Linked DNA regions of Tamandua tetradactyla. The protein of the gene in region 1 interacts with the protein of each later gene in a pairwise test. Links are inferred from orthologs where the notes say so. Each region holds a gene or a part of one and is shown on either strand. Other genes may lie near its edges.

Evidence for each region. The genes of interacting proteins can lie anywhere in the genome.
Region 2: the proteins of LDLRAP1 (region 1) and PSD4 interact in binary tests that used the Homo sapiens proteins (3 or more experiments, as listed by UniProt). The two-hybrid records come from large-scale screens. The link is inferred for Tamandua tetradactyla from reciprocal best matches to the Homo sapiens genes LDLRAP1 and PSD4.

What each region holds. Positions count from the first base shown.
Region 1 is NC_135328.1:200,650,341-200,658,244, forward strand, and holds the start of LDLRAP1 (low density lipoprotein receptor adapter protein 1), read right to left. Parts: upstream 3,014-7,904; 5' UTR 2,898-3,013; coding exon 2,810-2,897; intron 1-2,809. UniProt on the Homo sapiens protein: Adapter protein (clathrin-associated sorting protein (CLASP)) required for efficient endocytosis of the LDL receptor (LDLR) in polarized cells such as hepatocytes and lymphocytes, but not in non-polarized cells (fibroblasts).
Region 2 is NC_135343.1:138,341-146,116, forward strand, and holds the start of PSD4 (PH and SEC7 domain-containing protein 4), read right to left. Parts: upstream 3,014-7,776; 5' UTR 2,909-3,013; intron 1-2,908. UniProt on the Homo sapiens protein: Guanine nucleotide exchange factor for ARF6 and ARL14/ARF7. Through ARL14 activation, controls the movement of MHC class II-containing vesicles along the actin cytoskeleton in dendritic cells. Involved in membrane recycling.

The DNA.
Region 1 (7,904 bases):
GACTGAGATAAAATATTTATGGCTGTTGAAGAGATGGGGTTAAAAAGCCATGTGTGGGAGAGGGAGCCAGTTCTTCTTCGAGGTCAGGACTAAGTGGAAGACAGGAAGCTGTGAAGTTCATGCAAGGCCTGGGGTGCTGGCGTTGCCGTGTGGCCTTGGGCAAGCTGCCTTCTTTCTCTGGGTTTCAGTCTCTCCATGAATAAAACAATGAGCTACGAATCCCAGCTTTGGGGACCTGGAGGGATGAGAAGCCAGTCACAGGGGTCAGGTCTAACACTGTTCACTGGCTTCCACTTGGCACCACCACTCTTAGCCTGGGAGCGCAGAGCTTCCAGGGCTGGCCCATAACCCCAGGCAAGCTGCCGTCCCCAGCCCGCCCCCACCACAGCCTTCCTCTCCACCCTGTGCCCACCGTTGCCTCAGGCCTGCTGCCAGCTCCTCCCATGGCCACCGGGTCCATATGGCACAGTAAGACCCCTAGGCTGGGGGGGCTGAGTCCAGAGCCAGTGACTCCACCTCCCTGAGCCTCAGTCCCTTTAACTCTAAAATGGGTCTGATGATAAGAATCCCCTGCTCTGTCACCTCACAGGAGCAAAAGAGATCATGGAAGCAAAAACACATGGTTAAGTATTAAATGACAAAAACAATAGCTACCACTTATTGAACTCTTCCTCTGTACCAGGCAAAACACAATTTGATGTAATCCCCACAGAAGAAATAGGAGGTGGGGACTGTGGCTATTTGTAATTTTCAGATGAGGAAATGGAGGCTTAATAAGGAGGGTCAGGGTGGGGCTCTGAAGCCAGATGAGTCTAAGTAAAGAAGGCTCCAGGGCCGTCTGGGCTTTCGGAGGGATGCCCTCCTCTCCAGTTCTCTGCAAATGCAGACAGGCCCTGAGCCCCCAAAACCTGTTCCACCACAGGAATCAGATGGAAGGGGCTGGGGACAGGCCAGGGGAAGAGTGGGAGAGAAAGAAACCACCCATCAGGCCAAGAGGGAGCATTACCATCCACATCTTCTCAACATCCCCACCCCATAATGCAGATGAGGAAACTGAGACTCAGAAGGGACAAGGAATGCACCCAAGGTGGCAGCTGACAGGGAAACTCTACTCCCACCCAAGGTGGCTCCCTTCTCCCCTCTCCAGCAAAGGTGCCCCTAAGCTCCCCTCCCTTGCCCAGGCCCCCCCCCCCCACACACCCTTCCTTCACAGCCAGCTCCCTGGGGGCTGCTCCACCCACCCGTATCCCAGTAGAGAAGCACAGGGTCCCCACTGGAACAGACCCTCATTCTCAGAAGCTGTGGGTGACCCCTACCCCTGGTGGAATTCCACAAACATCTAAAGGGCTACTTTGGAAGCCATGAAGAGTGAGAGGTGACCCTCCCTGGCCTGCCAGGCTCTTATGGGTCCCTGACCTCAGTCCCCCCAGCAGCAGCCCACATTCCCCATGCCAGTCTCCATTCCAGAGGCAGCCAGAGCTGCAACAGCAGAGCTGGGCAAGGGGGTGGGGGGCAGGGCAGGGCAGGGCAGGGCAGGCGCCCTAGGCCCAGACACGCTGGCGCTCCTGGCAGTGATCTGGAAAGCAAAGAGGGAATGGCGTGGAGGGGGAGGAGGCGGGGACAGGGAAACGTGGTACTGGTGGCTCTTCCTGATGGGGAGAGGCCTGGGCTCAGGTGGGTCGGCAGCATGGTGGGGGGGGAGGGCAGGGGGGGAAGCGTAGAGGATTCCTAGGTTTGGCTCCACATTCGCCAGGAAGGGCTGTGTGAGTCCAAGTAAGCGCTCTGCCTCTCTGGGCCTCTGTTTCCACTGGTGAAAAAAAAAAAGAGGGAATTGGGCGGGGTTTCTCAGGCATCAGGGAAAAGTGCCAGGTGACCAGAGTAACTGCAGAAGGCGGGGGAGAGAAGTTAGGGCCCTGATGAGGCCCTCCCTGCCTCCCAGACACCCCAGGGAGAAGGTAACTGCGAGTGAGTCTGCCATTCGCCTGGGCGCCTCCGGGACTTCGTTAGCCACCGAGGAGAAAGAAGGGAAAGGAAACAGGTTTCAAAAATAACTAAGTCGCCAGCTTGCTACCTCGACCCGGTTAGGTGAGGGGACGCAGAGGTCTTAACGACAGTTTGTAAGGAAACCCTCCTCCCCACCCCCAGGCCGGACCTCGTCCCCAATCTCAAGCAGGTACCTGGGTTCACAGGCTCACACCTGGATGGGTCTCTGGGCGCCGGGGTGTCAAGAGATGAACCAGCGGGTTGGACCGGGTTGGGGGGAGGGACAAGTGGGATCCAGCCGCCGAGCGCTCCGCAGGGGCGGGGGCCAGCCCGCAGCGACCCCTGGGCACGCGGCTTGGGAAGACGCCCTGGTCCCCGTGGCCCCGTCCATAAACTCGGCCCTGGGCCCACTCCCCCTCCCCAGGACACGACGCCGCGCTCCTGCCTCCTCCCAGCTGCTCAGGGCGGCGAGGGGTGGGGGCCGAAAGGTGGGAGAGGTGCCGCGCGCCGGTCTCCTGCTGACCTGCGACCCCTTCCCACTGCCGCCTACACCTGGGGACCCCGAGCTTCGGTCTCTCCCCCCTGCGGCTGTCCCTCCTCCTAGGCTGCACAGAGCCTGGGGGGGAGGGGTTGGGGGGACTTGACCCCGGGCGACCCTCCGACCCGGCAGGGCCGGGGCAGGGCTGCTCCTAGCCGCGCGCGCCCCGCAGGGTGCACTGCAGGCCCTGCCTCTCCCCCCGCTGCGCCGAACTCCGGGCGCCGCGGGGGTCCCTGTCGGCCTCGGCCCGACCCCGGCCCGGGCCCCGGGGGACGCGCGCACACTCACTTCGGTGCCGGCCGCCGGCCCCCCAGCTCTGCTTGGCGAGGCTGGGGCTCCGGATCAGCGCCCGCCCGGCGGACTTGAGCGCGTCCATGGCCCGCTCCGGCCGCCGCAGCCCAGCAGCCGCCAAAACTCCTTCAGGAAAAACTTTCCGCCAGGGCCGCGCGGCGCGCGCGCTCCTCCCCTCCCCGCGCCAGCTCCGCCGCGGCGTCCGACGGGGCGGGGCGAAAAGCCGGCCAGGCCCCGCCCCGGACGGCCCGCCCCGCCCATGCCCTCTGGGTGGGGCGCGCTCCCAGTCCTTGCGTAGACAAAGGGCGGCGCCCCTAAAATAGCGAGCCGAAAGCTCAAGACAACTCATGTTTCCTTCTCCGCAATTCCCTTCCTCCCCGACCTGTAGGAGTTGGCAGGTCCGAGAGCCGCCAGCCCCGCCGCGAGACTGACTGCCCCTAGGATTTCCTAGCCAGTCCTAAAGAATGGTTCTGGGAGATCATTTTACAGATAGGAAGACTGAGAGCCAGAGAAGGAAAAGGGCCAGGGGACAGGGGATGCACAAAGCAGTGGAAAGCTTAGAAGGAGAGGGTGGGGGTTTTGGCGCTTTGTAGGTATGGGACTAGAGTGTGAAAGTTTGCTTTAGCAAAACCACGTGAGCACTTTACTCACCCACATAGCAGGCAGGCTGCCCCCTGGCACTCTGGACTGCCTCTGTCCAGCTTTCTCCCCCAGCTAGCCTCAGGAGGTGGCATGGCCTGGTACATTATGCTGTGAGGTATGGGGGAAAGCATACCTCTGATACTGACTCGCTGTGTGACTTCAGGCAGTTCCTTCTTTGGGTCTCGTTCTTATCTATAAAGTGGCTGGCCTGCTGCATACTATTGACCCAGATTCTGCCCCCTTCCTGCAGGTACTCGAGGGACCAAGGAGTCTCCATCCTAGGACTCCTCAAACGCAGGTGTTCTAACTCCAGGATTCTAGAATTCTTACTCTTAGAAATTCTGAGTCTGCCTGTTGGCCTGTGTCAAAGGAGCGAAAGGAGAGTGTATCTGTCCGGACCTTTGACCTGGCTTTTTCTAGGCAGGGTGTCTCAGCAAGGCCAGCCAAACAGAGAGCAGGGGCACGCGAACCCTCACTCCATCCAGCCTCTGCTTGCTCCAGGCTCAGAAACCAGGACCCGGGTTTCTGTGATGGGGAAGAGAAACTACTCGGCCAGCCCCACCTGGGTCAGGAGGCCTCACTGACATGGTCACTCCCCTGTTTATAAAAAGAGTGCTTTTTCAGCCATTCTGTCCTTTGCTCCAACAACAGTGCTGAACTGGATATTGAAGCCAGGAATAAACCCATTTTATAGAATAGGAGCCCAAGGCTCAGGAGTGAAGCACTCACTGAGGGTCTCCTGCACATCAGAGGCCACATCATACTCAGACCAAGGGCAGTAGACCAGAGTGGAATGTTGGGAGCTTGAATCCAGCTCTCTTCCTTTTGGGCAAACCCCCTCAGGGGCAACAGTACCCATTCCTCAGAGGTGTCTGTGAGGATGAAATAAAGTGAGTTGGAGAGGTTGAATAACGTACCTTTAAAATTGCCTCTTCCAGGAAGCCTTCCTTCGCTCCCACCCAGGGGTTAAGTTTCCTGTGGGCTCCACAGGCCTGCTTTTGGAATGGCAAGTATTGCTACTCCCTGTTTCTACTCTTCTCGCTCCCACCAAAGTTGTATCCTTCAAGGGCAAGCTTTTCTATTCATTTCTGAATCCCGTAGGGTCCAAAGGGAGTTGGACACAGTCAGTGTTTGTTTTTTTTCCCTCCTCCCTCCTTCCAGCTTTTCACCACACCAGGCTGCCTCTTCCCACAGAAGGGCTGTGGCAACGGGTAGGTAGACCCTGAGGGCTAACACCACTGGCTCTCTCACATCAAGCCAGTGAGTCTTGGAGAAGCAGAGCACATTCTGGAACCTGAAGGAAGAACAATCATTCACGCTGGCTGGAGAAGGGCAGGGGGTGGTGTCCACCTGGCAGGGGGCACCATATGGGCCTGGTAAGCAGTCAGGCCTGGGAACGCCATGCGTGCAGCAAAAGCTGTTTCTGTGCCCTTCACATCTCTTGGAGGCAGCTTGCTGGGAGCTGTCAGCCATGCATCCCCTGCAGAGGGGCAGCCTGCCTGTGCCCCTCCTGCCAATCCCAGAAACAGAAGCAGAAACAGAAGGTCAGAGGCATGAAGGGCCTCCTTTGAGGTTACAGTATCCAATTCCTCATTTCACAGATGAGAAGCCTCAAGCCCAGAGAGGGGCAGTGACTTGCCCAAGGTCGCACAGCAAGCCAGGACGAGAGGCTGTCTCCTGCCTCCCTGCCCAGATGCTTTTGAAAACGGGGGAGACCAAAGAAATCTTGAGAATATGTTAGTATTCAAGTAGGGGTTTTAACGTGGTCATTCCTTGAAACTTCGGGTATTTATGTGACACCTGAGACTCTGAATTAGAGACTGAAGCTATGAAAGTCAGCATTACCCATACAGCAACTGTTTAAAAAGTTGAAAAAGTGATCAGACTTCAACTAGAGATGTGAATGAAGCTGATCTGGACTACGGGAAATCAGAATACAGGGTAAAGGGTGATATGGTCCATGTTTTAAAATGTCACCTTCTGTGTGAGATCAAAAGAAGGGATGTTTATTTGGTGCAAAATCTATATTGTGGGTAGCACATTATCTAATTTAATTTGTATGGTCAGTTAATTTGAACACCATAATTACATGAAATCTTGAATATGGCGTGAGACCTTGTTGGTTTGTACAGGTTAGGGTGATGCCCTGATATACCCCAGAATAATGTGGGCAGAGAATAAAAAAAGTATTTGCAAAGACCCCTTGGGAGACTGGGGAGAAAGGAGGAAAATTCCATTTGGGGAATTCTCGATATTCTCACAAGCAGTGGGGACAACTAATTTAATAGGCTAAGCCCTCGATCTTAGGGTTCACCCCTATGAAATTTATTCCTGCAAAGGATAAGCTAAGCCTACTTATAATTATGCCTAAGAGTCACCCCCAGAGAACTTCTTTTGTTGCTCAGATGTGGCCTTTCTAGGCCAACGCAGCAGGTGAACTCACTGCCCTCCCCACTACATGGGACATGACTGAGGGGTATAAATCTCCCTGGCAATGTGGGACAGAATTCCTGGGATGAGATGATACCCAGCATGAAAAGATTCAGAAAACCTTCTTGACCAAAAGGGGGAAGAGAGAAATGAGACAAAATGAAGTTTCAGTGGCTAAGAGATTTCAAACAGAGTCAAGAGGTTATCTTGGAGGTTATTCTTATTTATTATATAGGCATCCCTTTTAGTTTACGGTGTATTGGAGTGGCTAGAGGGAAGTACCTGAAACTTTTGAGCTGTGTTCCAGTAGCCTTAATTCTTGAAGACAATTGTATAACTATATAGCTTTTACAATGTGACCATGTGATTATGAAAACCTTCTGTCTGATGCTCCTTTTATCCAGGCTATGGACAGATGAGCAAAAAAAAAAAAAGGATAAAAAAGAAATAATGGGGGTGGTAGGTATAAAGGGTAAAAAAATTGCATAGATGGAAATACTAGTGGTGATGAGAGGGAGGGGTAAGGGGTATAAGATGTGTGAGTTTTTTCCTTTGTCTTTTTATTTATTTTTCTGGAGTGATGCAAATGTTCTCAAAATGATCATGGTGTTGAATTCACAACTATGTGATGATATTGTGAGCCACTGATTATACACCATGTATGAACTGTGTGTGTGTGAAGATTTGTCAATAAAAATATTTAAAAAAAAGAGGGGATTTAAGGTGATTATTCTTTTCCTGATTTTTGGTTGGTTAGTTGGGTTTTTGTAATTGTATTTTCTTATCTGACGATCTGTCTTTGGAAAAATTTCTGCAGTGATCATGTATCTTTTAATAATCAGAAATTAGAAAATAATAAAAGTTGGGGGACTGGGAAACTATCTATGGGAATTACTGGCCTTTGTCCCTAGGAAAATGGAGACAGAACCACAGTCTTACTGTTTCTTCCTCACGGGGCCTGCGTGGAACCCCAGTGGGATAGTGGGTGCAAGAGAGCCGGGAGGGCTGTTGGCCTCTCTCCAGTCATATTTGGGGCTTGCAGTGGGATCGAGACAAAAGCCCTACATGGGATCAGGGCCCTGGCTTCCTCAGGTGGCCTATCCCCCTTACATTCCCTAGCCAGTCCCTTCGGCTTGCTGGGCCTGCTTTTCATCTGTAAAATGGGTTACCGGCGGAAACCAGCAAAGCCCAGCGGCTAACCCCGAGGATGCTGGAGCCTGGGACTTCGGCCCCCTGACTTCTTCATGTCGTGACCTTAGGTGCGTCGTTTAATTTCCATGGGCCTCTGTTTCCACCTGCGTAAAGTGGAGATTATACTTCATGGAGTTGTTGTGAGGAGTAAATGAGTTAATATTTGTAATGTGTTCAGAATTAGGCCTGACACATCTGTGCCATGTTTGTTGTTTCCTAATTAGATGAACAGTACAGATGAAACGGGTGGGGTGGTTATCATTGTTCTTGGCTGGTCCCCAGGGAAGGGAGCTTTCTAGGGAATGGAATCAGCCTGGCCGGTCTGAGCTGTGGGTAGTCCAGCCTTGCCCCAGGGCCTCCCATCCCCCACCCTGGCAGGACAGGGCTGCCCCGTCACCCTCCCTCAGGCGCAAGTTTGCGAGCTCCTACCAGGGAGACAGAGAGAACCTGGGCCACCCAGTGAGTTGGGAGCCCTGGAGCTGCCCGCTTACTCAGCTCTGGCCTTTCCCCTGATCCACAGGGACTCTCCTGCCCTCTGAGGCCCGCAGACCTGGTAGCCCCAATCAGTTGCCTCTGAACCCCTCCCTCAACCCCTTCCCATGCTGCTTCCTCTCCCAGAAACATCCAGCCAGATTGCCTCCCTGACTCTCCTGGTCCCTTCACCTTTGGCTAAAGGGTCTAGTTGGCCTCCTCCCCAATACCACAGTGACAGCCCACACACAGCTTTCCGTCCCCAATGCACGTGCACACACATACACATCTAAACAGCAACTGTTTGACCTTGGAGCTCTACATACCTGGGCTCTAAAACCAAGTCTACTTATGGTTA
Region 2 (7,776 bases), on another chromosome or scaffold:
CACTGAGGGCTGAAGCCATGCAGCCTTCCTGGCTCCAGACCCCTGTTCCCTGAGGGCTTGTCCAAGCCCCAGGACACAGATGGGCCCCCAACCCAAGACTTACGGCCCCAGGGCTGCAGAGTGGCTTGTGGCAGGAGTGACTCCCCTGCTTACACAACTGTGTGAACAGACCTGGGAGGCCTGTAGCCTCTTCGAGGAGCAGCCCTGGGACCAGAAACACCAGGGAGTGTGACCACCAGGAGACCTGGGGACGTGGGGAAGGCCCCTGCATGGAGCCTGGGCACAGGGCATCCCAGGTCCACTCAGCCGCCTTCTCCAGGGACCCACCCAAGGCCTGGTCCACTGGTGTGAGCTGGCACCCCTCGGTGACCGCTCCTCCTTGTCTAGCCCCCTGCCTGCCCTCCCGGCACAGTGCATCTAATGGATGCCTTACCCCTCATGCCCCCCGGCACACTGCCTCTGACGGACCCATCCTTAGGAGGGCGTTTCTGAGCAAGAATGACATCAGCCTTCCTACTTGGGTTCACAGGAAATGTTCCTTGGCCAAAAAGGGGAGTGGCAGTGGGGGGAGGCTGGAGGTGTTGGGAGGAGATCGGGCCCCCACCACCTTCTGTAAGACGGAGCTCCCCTCCCCTCTGCAAACATGCGTTATAAGCAATCACGAGGGGCAGATAAAGCCGCGCAGCGCGGGATGTTTTTGAGTGCGCTGGGCACAGGTGAGTATCAGATGAGCCTTCCCAGAGGAAACCAGGTGTTGCACACCTGCCTCAGGTGGAGGAGAGTCAGAGCCGCTGCAGCAGCTGCCCAGAGACCGAGGAGAAGAGAGCAGCTCTGGGGTGCAGGGCAGAGACCAGGGCAGGGACGGGGAAATGTGGGGTTCCCAAGGGGAGGGGAGGAGGGAGGGGCTGGGGCAGCAGGCGGCGTCCGCGGGGACTACGGTGGGCAGCGGGACCAGCCGAGGCTCTCGCTGGCCACAGCCAGCACCTCCCCCCCACCCCCCGTCCCTCCCTCCATCCACGTGACCCTCTCAGGCACCTCAAGAGGAGGAGTTTGGGGACAGGGCGGCTCGCTGACCTACCCTTCCTTTACACTCTGCTTAGTCGTTGCTTAATCGTTGTTTGCAGGAGGGTTTCAATTCTGTTTTTACTGCTCCCCACTCCACGGAGGGGTGGAGTCACCCAGAGACTGCCAAGCCCCCACTGCACAGGGCGGGGGACTGGGACCGGCCTGGGGTGGGATGCGTGCTCAGTCTCGGGGAGCCTGGCCTTCGGCCCCTGGGTCATGGCTTCTTTTTTCCTCATGTCCTGATGTGTATTGAAATCCCTTCTGAAGCTGCCTGCCTGTCTCGGGCTGCCCGGAGCAAGGAGGCTGGGGGGACAGGCCCATGGGCGGTTCTGCTAACGCTGCAGCCAGGGGGCTCTCACTTTAGGAACAAGCTGGGGGGAAGTGGGGTCCAAGCCACTGACCTAGAGCTCCAGAGGACGGGGCGGGGGCAGCAGGACAGAGGGGGGAGCCGGGCAGAGGGGGGAAGCCCAGCCAGGGGGTACCACTCCACCACATGGATGCCTGGGCCCCCCGCCCCGTCTTGCAGATTGTGGGCTACCTTTCAGGGAACTTCTGGGGAGACATGCAAGGGCACAGCCTCAGCTCCTGTGGGCAGCGGCACCGACCTCCACCCCGCCGGGGCTGGGACCTTCTTTCAGGCCTCGAGGGACAGGAGGAGGGGCGGGCGCTGGACCCACTACGATGCCTGCCTGGTGCCTGGGCCGGAGGGCACTTGAGGCGGCCGCCTGGGACTCTGAAGGGCCGCGGGACCCCACGCCCTTGCTTCGCAGGGGCGACCCCCAGCCGCGAGGGGCCTCAGCCCCACGGCCCAGCAGCCACGAGGGGCCTCCCTCCCTGCAAAAGGAGGAAGCGGAGCTGCGGCCGGCAGGTCTGTGTGCAGCGGGAGCGCCAGGCCTTGTAGGTCCGCCCAGAGAAGCCAAAACCAACCAAACCAGGGACACAGGAATCGGTCACGCACAAGGCAGCAGGGCACAGCCCCAAGGGCTGCCCAAGTCCTCCCCGCCGGCCCCCTCTGTTCTCTGTGTGGGTCGCTCTCCCTGTCCCTTCAGGCAGGAAGATGCGTCCTTCCATCAGAGAATGGCGCCTGCCGGGGCTGGGGCTGGGGCAGGGCCCCCCTGCGTGGCAGCACGACAGAGGCCCTGCCCCCGGCTGCATGTCCTGCCCACCCAGAGATGTGCAGAGAGCCTGGGCTGTGGGGGCTCGAACCAGGCCAGGGCCCTGGGCCTCGGTCCTCTTCCACCTCCCCCTCCCCTCCTTCCTGCCTGCGTCCGGCCCAGGGAGAGGCCCCGTGGAGCCCGAATGCCCCAGGAAGAGGGGGCAGGTGGGAGCCTAGCTGCAGGGTCACTGTGGCCAGCGATGTCAGGGCCTGTCCTGTCATGAGGCTCGAACCCTACACAGCGCTTGCAGCCTGGTCCTGGGCTGCCCCAAGCAGAGAACAGAGACAACTGTGTCACCAGCGGGGCACAGAGGAAAGGGCGCCTGCACCAGACAAGAGCCTAAGCCAAAGCTGCCGGGCAAGCGCGAGGACAGCCCAGCCTCCAAGAGCTTCTCGGGTGGCTGGAAGGAAGGGGCAGCGGGGAGCCCCCTTCCGAGGGGCCGCACCCAGTCTGGCTCACAGCCCAGGGACCCCCAAGAGGGGATCCAGGAGCTCTCTGGGCCCCCACCCTTAGCTGCAGGCTTCCGGGGGGCAGGGAGTGGGGGCAGGGCCGATGGGCCGATGGGAGGAGAAGGGTGCCGAAAAGGGAGAAGCAGGGGTGTCCTGTCCAAAGCCAGGCTCGCCGCAGGTGCACCAGGCCCCCAGAGACCCCCGGATGCCCTGCTCCCGCCCGCACACCCTCCTCACCTCCAGAGCCCCCCGATGGCTCCCCAGGAGCAGCCTCCCCTGCGCAGTCTCCCCGCGAACGTGGCAGCTTGAGGTCTGACTTCCGCTCTCCACCGTGCTCCTGCGCGGCACCTCATACTTCCTGCCACAGCCCAGGGCCTCCAGGCCCTTTCCCCAGCCCCTGCCCCCTGGGACCCCCCCCCCCCCAACCGCAGCACAGGCACCCAGGGCGGAGGTAGGTTCCAGGCTGGTGACTTTCCTCTCTCCCTTTTGGCAAACCACATTTCAAGTCTCCCGTGGCTGAAGGTCCAGCTGGAGTGCACAGGGCCCGCCCCTTGGGCACCCACTCCATGGCCGAGAGCGCTGGTGGGGGGGACACCGAACCTCTGGCCACGGAGGGGCCTCCCACCCGCCACTCAAAGCCACAGGCACCTGGCCACCTCCCCACGGCTGGAAGGACATGCCCAGCTGACCTGCTGCCCTTCTCCAGGTGCCCAGGACCCCCTCTCAGCCCACCTGCTTCCTCCAGCCTCTTCCCAGTCCCTCTACGCAGCCCTAGGCCACAGATGGGCAGGAGGGGCCGGCAGGGCGAGCACCTGGGGCAGGGGCTGGAGGGGCGAAGGGAGACAGGGCCACAGCAGGAAAGGCTTCCAGGTGGCCCCGGGACAGGGCAGAGGGTGGGGGTGGCCAGGAAGGCTTAGGGTTAGGGTTAGGGTTAGGGTTAGGGTTAGGGTTAGGGTTAGGGCGGCAAGCAGGGGGCGTGTGAGGCACGCATCTGTCCTTCCTTCCACCTCTGTCCTTCACCCCCTGTCCTCCCTCTGTCCTCCCCCCGTCCTCCCCCCTCTGACCTCCCCCCTGATATCCCCCCTCTGTCCTCCCCCATCTATCCTCCCCCTCTGTCTTCCCCTTCTGTCCACCCCCTTTGTCTTCCCTCTGTCCTACCCCATCTGTTCTCCACCTTCTGTCCTCCCTCTCTGTCCTCCCAGGCCGGGGCCTCGGGGCTGCGGGGAACCTCCCAGCATGAAGTTTCCTGTTCCATGCCCCTGCATCGAGGGCCCCCAGCACAGGCAAGACGGGAGCATGATGTGGGTTGGATGAGGACAGGGACAGGACACTGCTGAGCCCACCCTGCCCCCTCAGGGCCAGGGACTGGCAGCCCACACAGCAGTACCCATGCAGACGGCTGACCCTGCAGCACTGCCTGGCACCCCGACCTTCCTCAAGGTGCGCTGGCTACGGTGCGTGGGCACGGGAGGGGCTCTTCCCACGGCCAGGGGGCCACAAGGAAGCGCAGAGGGTAGTGGTGCGACACTCCAAGCCAAGCAAGTAAGAAAACGGATCGCATATTCGGTCGGGTCGCGTTTTTGAAAGCAATGTATTTACCTATTTAGGTGATAAAATACCAAAACGTTCACAGTACTATCTGCGTGCCAGCAGTTCATGTGTCTTTAACTTCTTTAAGCTTTGTTGACACTACCTCACTTTATAAAATATGATGTATGATGTTTATCCAAGCAAACCCAATAAAGCTGCTTTGATGGACTAAATATGATGGGATTCCTCTACTTGCTTTAAAGACCTTTTGCTGTGCTCTGTCCCCACAGTTGCTGAGGGGCATGGGGCTCTGGGGGCGCCTGGGCCCCCAGCTCGGTCTCACTGCCCCCGCCCCGGCCTCACCGCCCCCACCCCTGAGGGTCAGAAGGGAAATGCGCTCCCCCCAAGCGCTGCCTCCACAAGCCCACAGCTGCACCAGCCCAAGCCCAAATGGAACTCTTTAATAGGTGAACAATTCTTTGGATATGCATCAGGAAAATAAAAGCGCAATCATGCTAATGCAGACAATGCCTAATTTTGGTTGTTTTTTCGTGTGTGTGTGTGTATTCAAAGAAAAATCTTTAATATATCATAGTATGGGTGGAAAACTCATGTCAAAGCCACGACTGGGATGCACAGGTGAGCAGATCTCTGTGCAGCAGAAGCTGAGTCTCTGGCATTTACAGCTTTGGAGAAAGAGCCGGAAGTCTGCCCTTTAGTGCCCATTAGCCACGGTCGGCCGTGACCGTGGACAGAAATCAGCTCCCACTAAATGGAAAGTTCCGGCGTCCAAAGGCAGAGCAGGTAAGTGCTGAGCAGGGGAAAGGGGAGGAGAAGCCAGGAGAAGGGCTGTCCCTGGGGTCTGCACAGGGAGCACTGGCCTGCAGGGGCCACTCTGGGACAAGGCGGCTCCCGGCAGGGACAGGCTGGGGAGGAGAGCCACCCTTCTTCTTCCCTGCTTCGGCCGCTCTTCCTCCAGGGCTGCGTCCCAGGCCAGGCCACTGGGCCTCCAGGAAAGCAGGGCTGCTCCTTGACCACCCCTCCTCCCTGCTGCCCCATCCCATGCCCAGGGGATGGCTTCTGAGACGGCCCGGCCAAGAAGTGCCCAGCAAAGCGCAGTGCTCGAGAGCACCATGTCGGCTGGCTGGCCTCTCTCCGTCCGTCCAGGCCACCTGGGGGCTGCCTGGGACCCGCACCCACTCCCCCACTGCTGGAGGCTTGCAGCCCCTCTCTTGCCCTGAGTTTGTTGGGGTGTGTCCATTTGCCAGGGGTGCTTTCCCGCCACACCCGCCCTCGGCAGCCCTGAATGTGGCTCCTCCACCTCCCACAGAAATCCGCTCCCACCTCCCTCCTCATCCTCCTCCCTGAGCCACCCCTGCCCCTGAAAATACTTATAGCCCCCAACCCCCACCCCACGCCCCCTTCCCCAACTGCCAAATGCTGGCATTCGAGCCACCCTAGGCTGCTGTGTGAGGAGCCCGCCACGCTCCAGCTGAGCTCCAACAGCTCTGCAGCCCTTCCCCAGGTGTGCTGGGCGCAGCTCGGGCTCCCTCCCCACTGCCCTCCCCACTGCCAGACCCTCCTTGTCTCCTCCTCCACCCAACCCAACAAGAGTCCAGGAGCCAAGTATGCATGGCAGCTGAACAGAACATGGCACCTTAGGACATGGCATCAGGTTTAAAAGTAAGAAAATCAGAATATATAGCACAATAAAGTCATCAAGTCTAAAATACATGCACACATAAATTTGTCTATTTCTCTAAAATATGTACAGACCCAAGAATGCTAAAAACATGCCAATGTGTGTAGTGGGGGGGAGGGAGATGGCAGACGTGAAGGGTGGACAGTAGGCCCAGAGACGGGGGCCAGGAGAAATAAGGAGAACCTAGTAATTCAACAGAAAACAGGACCAAAATCAAATATATAGAGTTTCAGGAGGAGGGCGGAGCGGAGAGGTTGAGTTCAGCCCGCTCCGAGGAACAGCCAGAGAAGGGCAGAAGGGCGACTCCAGGGTGGGGGTGACCCGGCAGGGCCTTCCACACCTCATGGGGCCGCCCTGGTGGCAGGAGCTGAAGAGCTGAGATGCAGAGACCCGGAGACCGCGCGGCTGCAGCACTGCGCCCGCCCGTTTCCCGAAGAAGGCACGCAGCTCTCAGGGATGCACGGACGGGGGCGGGGCCGGGAAGTCAGCCAAGCCGCAACCCTTGAGCATGCTACCCTCCTGTGCGGCCTCCACCCACAGCTCCTCCCACCCCCAGCAAACTTGCCGAGTGCTGCCGCCCCCCAGCGCGCCCCCACCCACAGCCCCGGCTCCACACACACGCAGACTGGCCCAGCCGACCCACCTCTCCCGCATAAGCGCAATGTTGCCCCGCCCCTCCCGAGACCCCCCACCGGTACCCAGGCCCTGGACCCCTACCTTCCCTTCCCTGCCCCCTGCAGGCGGTCACCTGCGCATCCAGGCTGCAGCCTCTCACAATCATCACTGGGCCCTGTCCATCTCCAAACACAAAGCTCTAGTCTACTGAAGGAAAGCAATTTTCAAAGTAACCCTCTCAAGATATTTACATGCCGCAAAGATAATAGGAGATCGCAAGCATATCACACTGCAGAAGAGGCATAGCCCAGCCTAAGAGCCAAAGTAAAACACTTGAGGAGACACAGAGTCTGGAACAACTAAGCAAATTGTTCTTACAACTCTATTAAACAGAATAAGTGGGATGGCTAATTACATGAAGGACATCAAGAACACACCAGAAGAGCATAAAAATGAATTTGAAAAAATAAACAGAAAAACAGCAGATATCACAGAGATTAAAGATGCTTTAGACCAAATCAAAAATATACTTGAGACACACAACAGCAGATTTGAAGAGGCAGGAGAAAAGAATAAGCACACTCGAGACCAGGACAACTGAACTTGAACACACAAAAGACCAAATGGCAAAAATTTGGAAAAACGTGAATTGGATTTCAGGGCAATGATGGACAAAAAAAGCAAACAAATATAAGAATCATCGATGTCCCAAAAGGAGAAGAGAAGAGTAAAGAGTTAGGAAGAGTGGTTGAGGATATAATGGGGAAAACTTCCCAACCCTTATAAAAGATATAAATGTGCAAATCAAAGAAGCCCAACCAACTCTATAGGCCTTCCCCAAGACACATGCTAATCAGTCTGTCAGATGTTGAAGAGAAGCAGAAAATGTGAAAATGACAAAAGTAAAACTGTCTTTTACGAACATGGGAAATCACATAAGACTTAGGTCGGACTACTCAACTTGCATCATGAAGGCAAGAAGGCAATGATATAATATATTTAAAATCCTAAAAGAGAAAGACTTCCAGCCAAAAATTCTGTACCCAGCCAAATTTTCCTTCAAAACTGAGGGATAGTGTGGCCCATGGTGGCTCAGCAGGCAGAGTTCTCACTGGCCATGTTGGGTTCGATTCCTGGTGCCTGCCCATGTGAAAAAAAGATTAAAAAACTGAGGGAGAGATTAAAATTTTCATAGACAAACAAAAGCTGAAAGAATCTGTCAATCAGCCCTATAAGAAATATTAAAGGGAGCTCTACT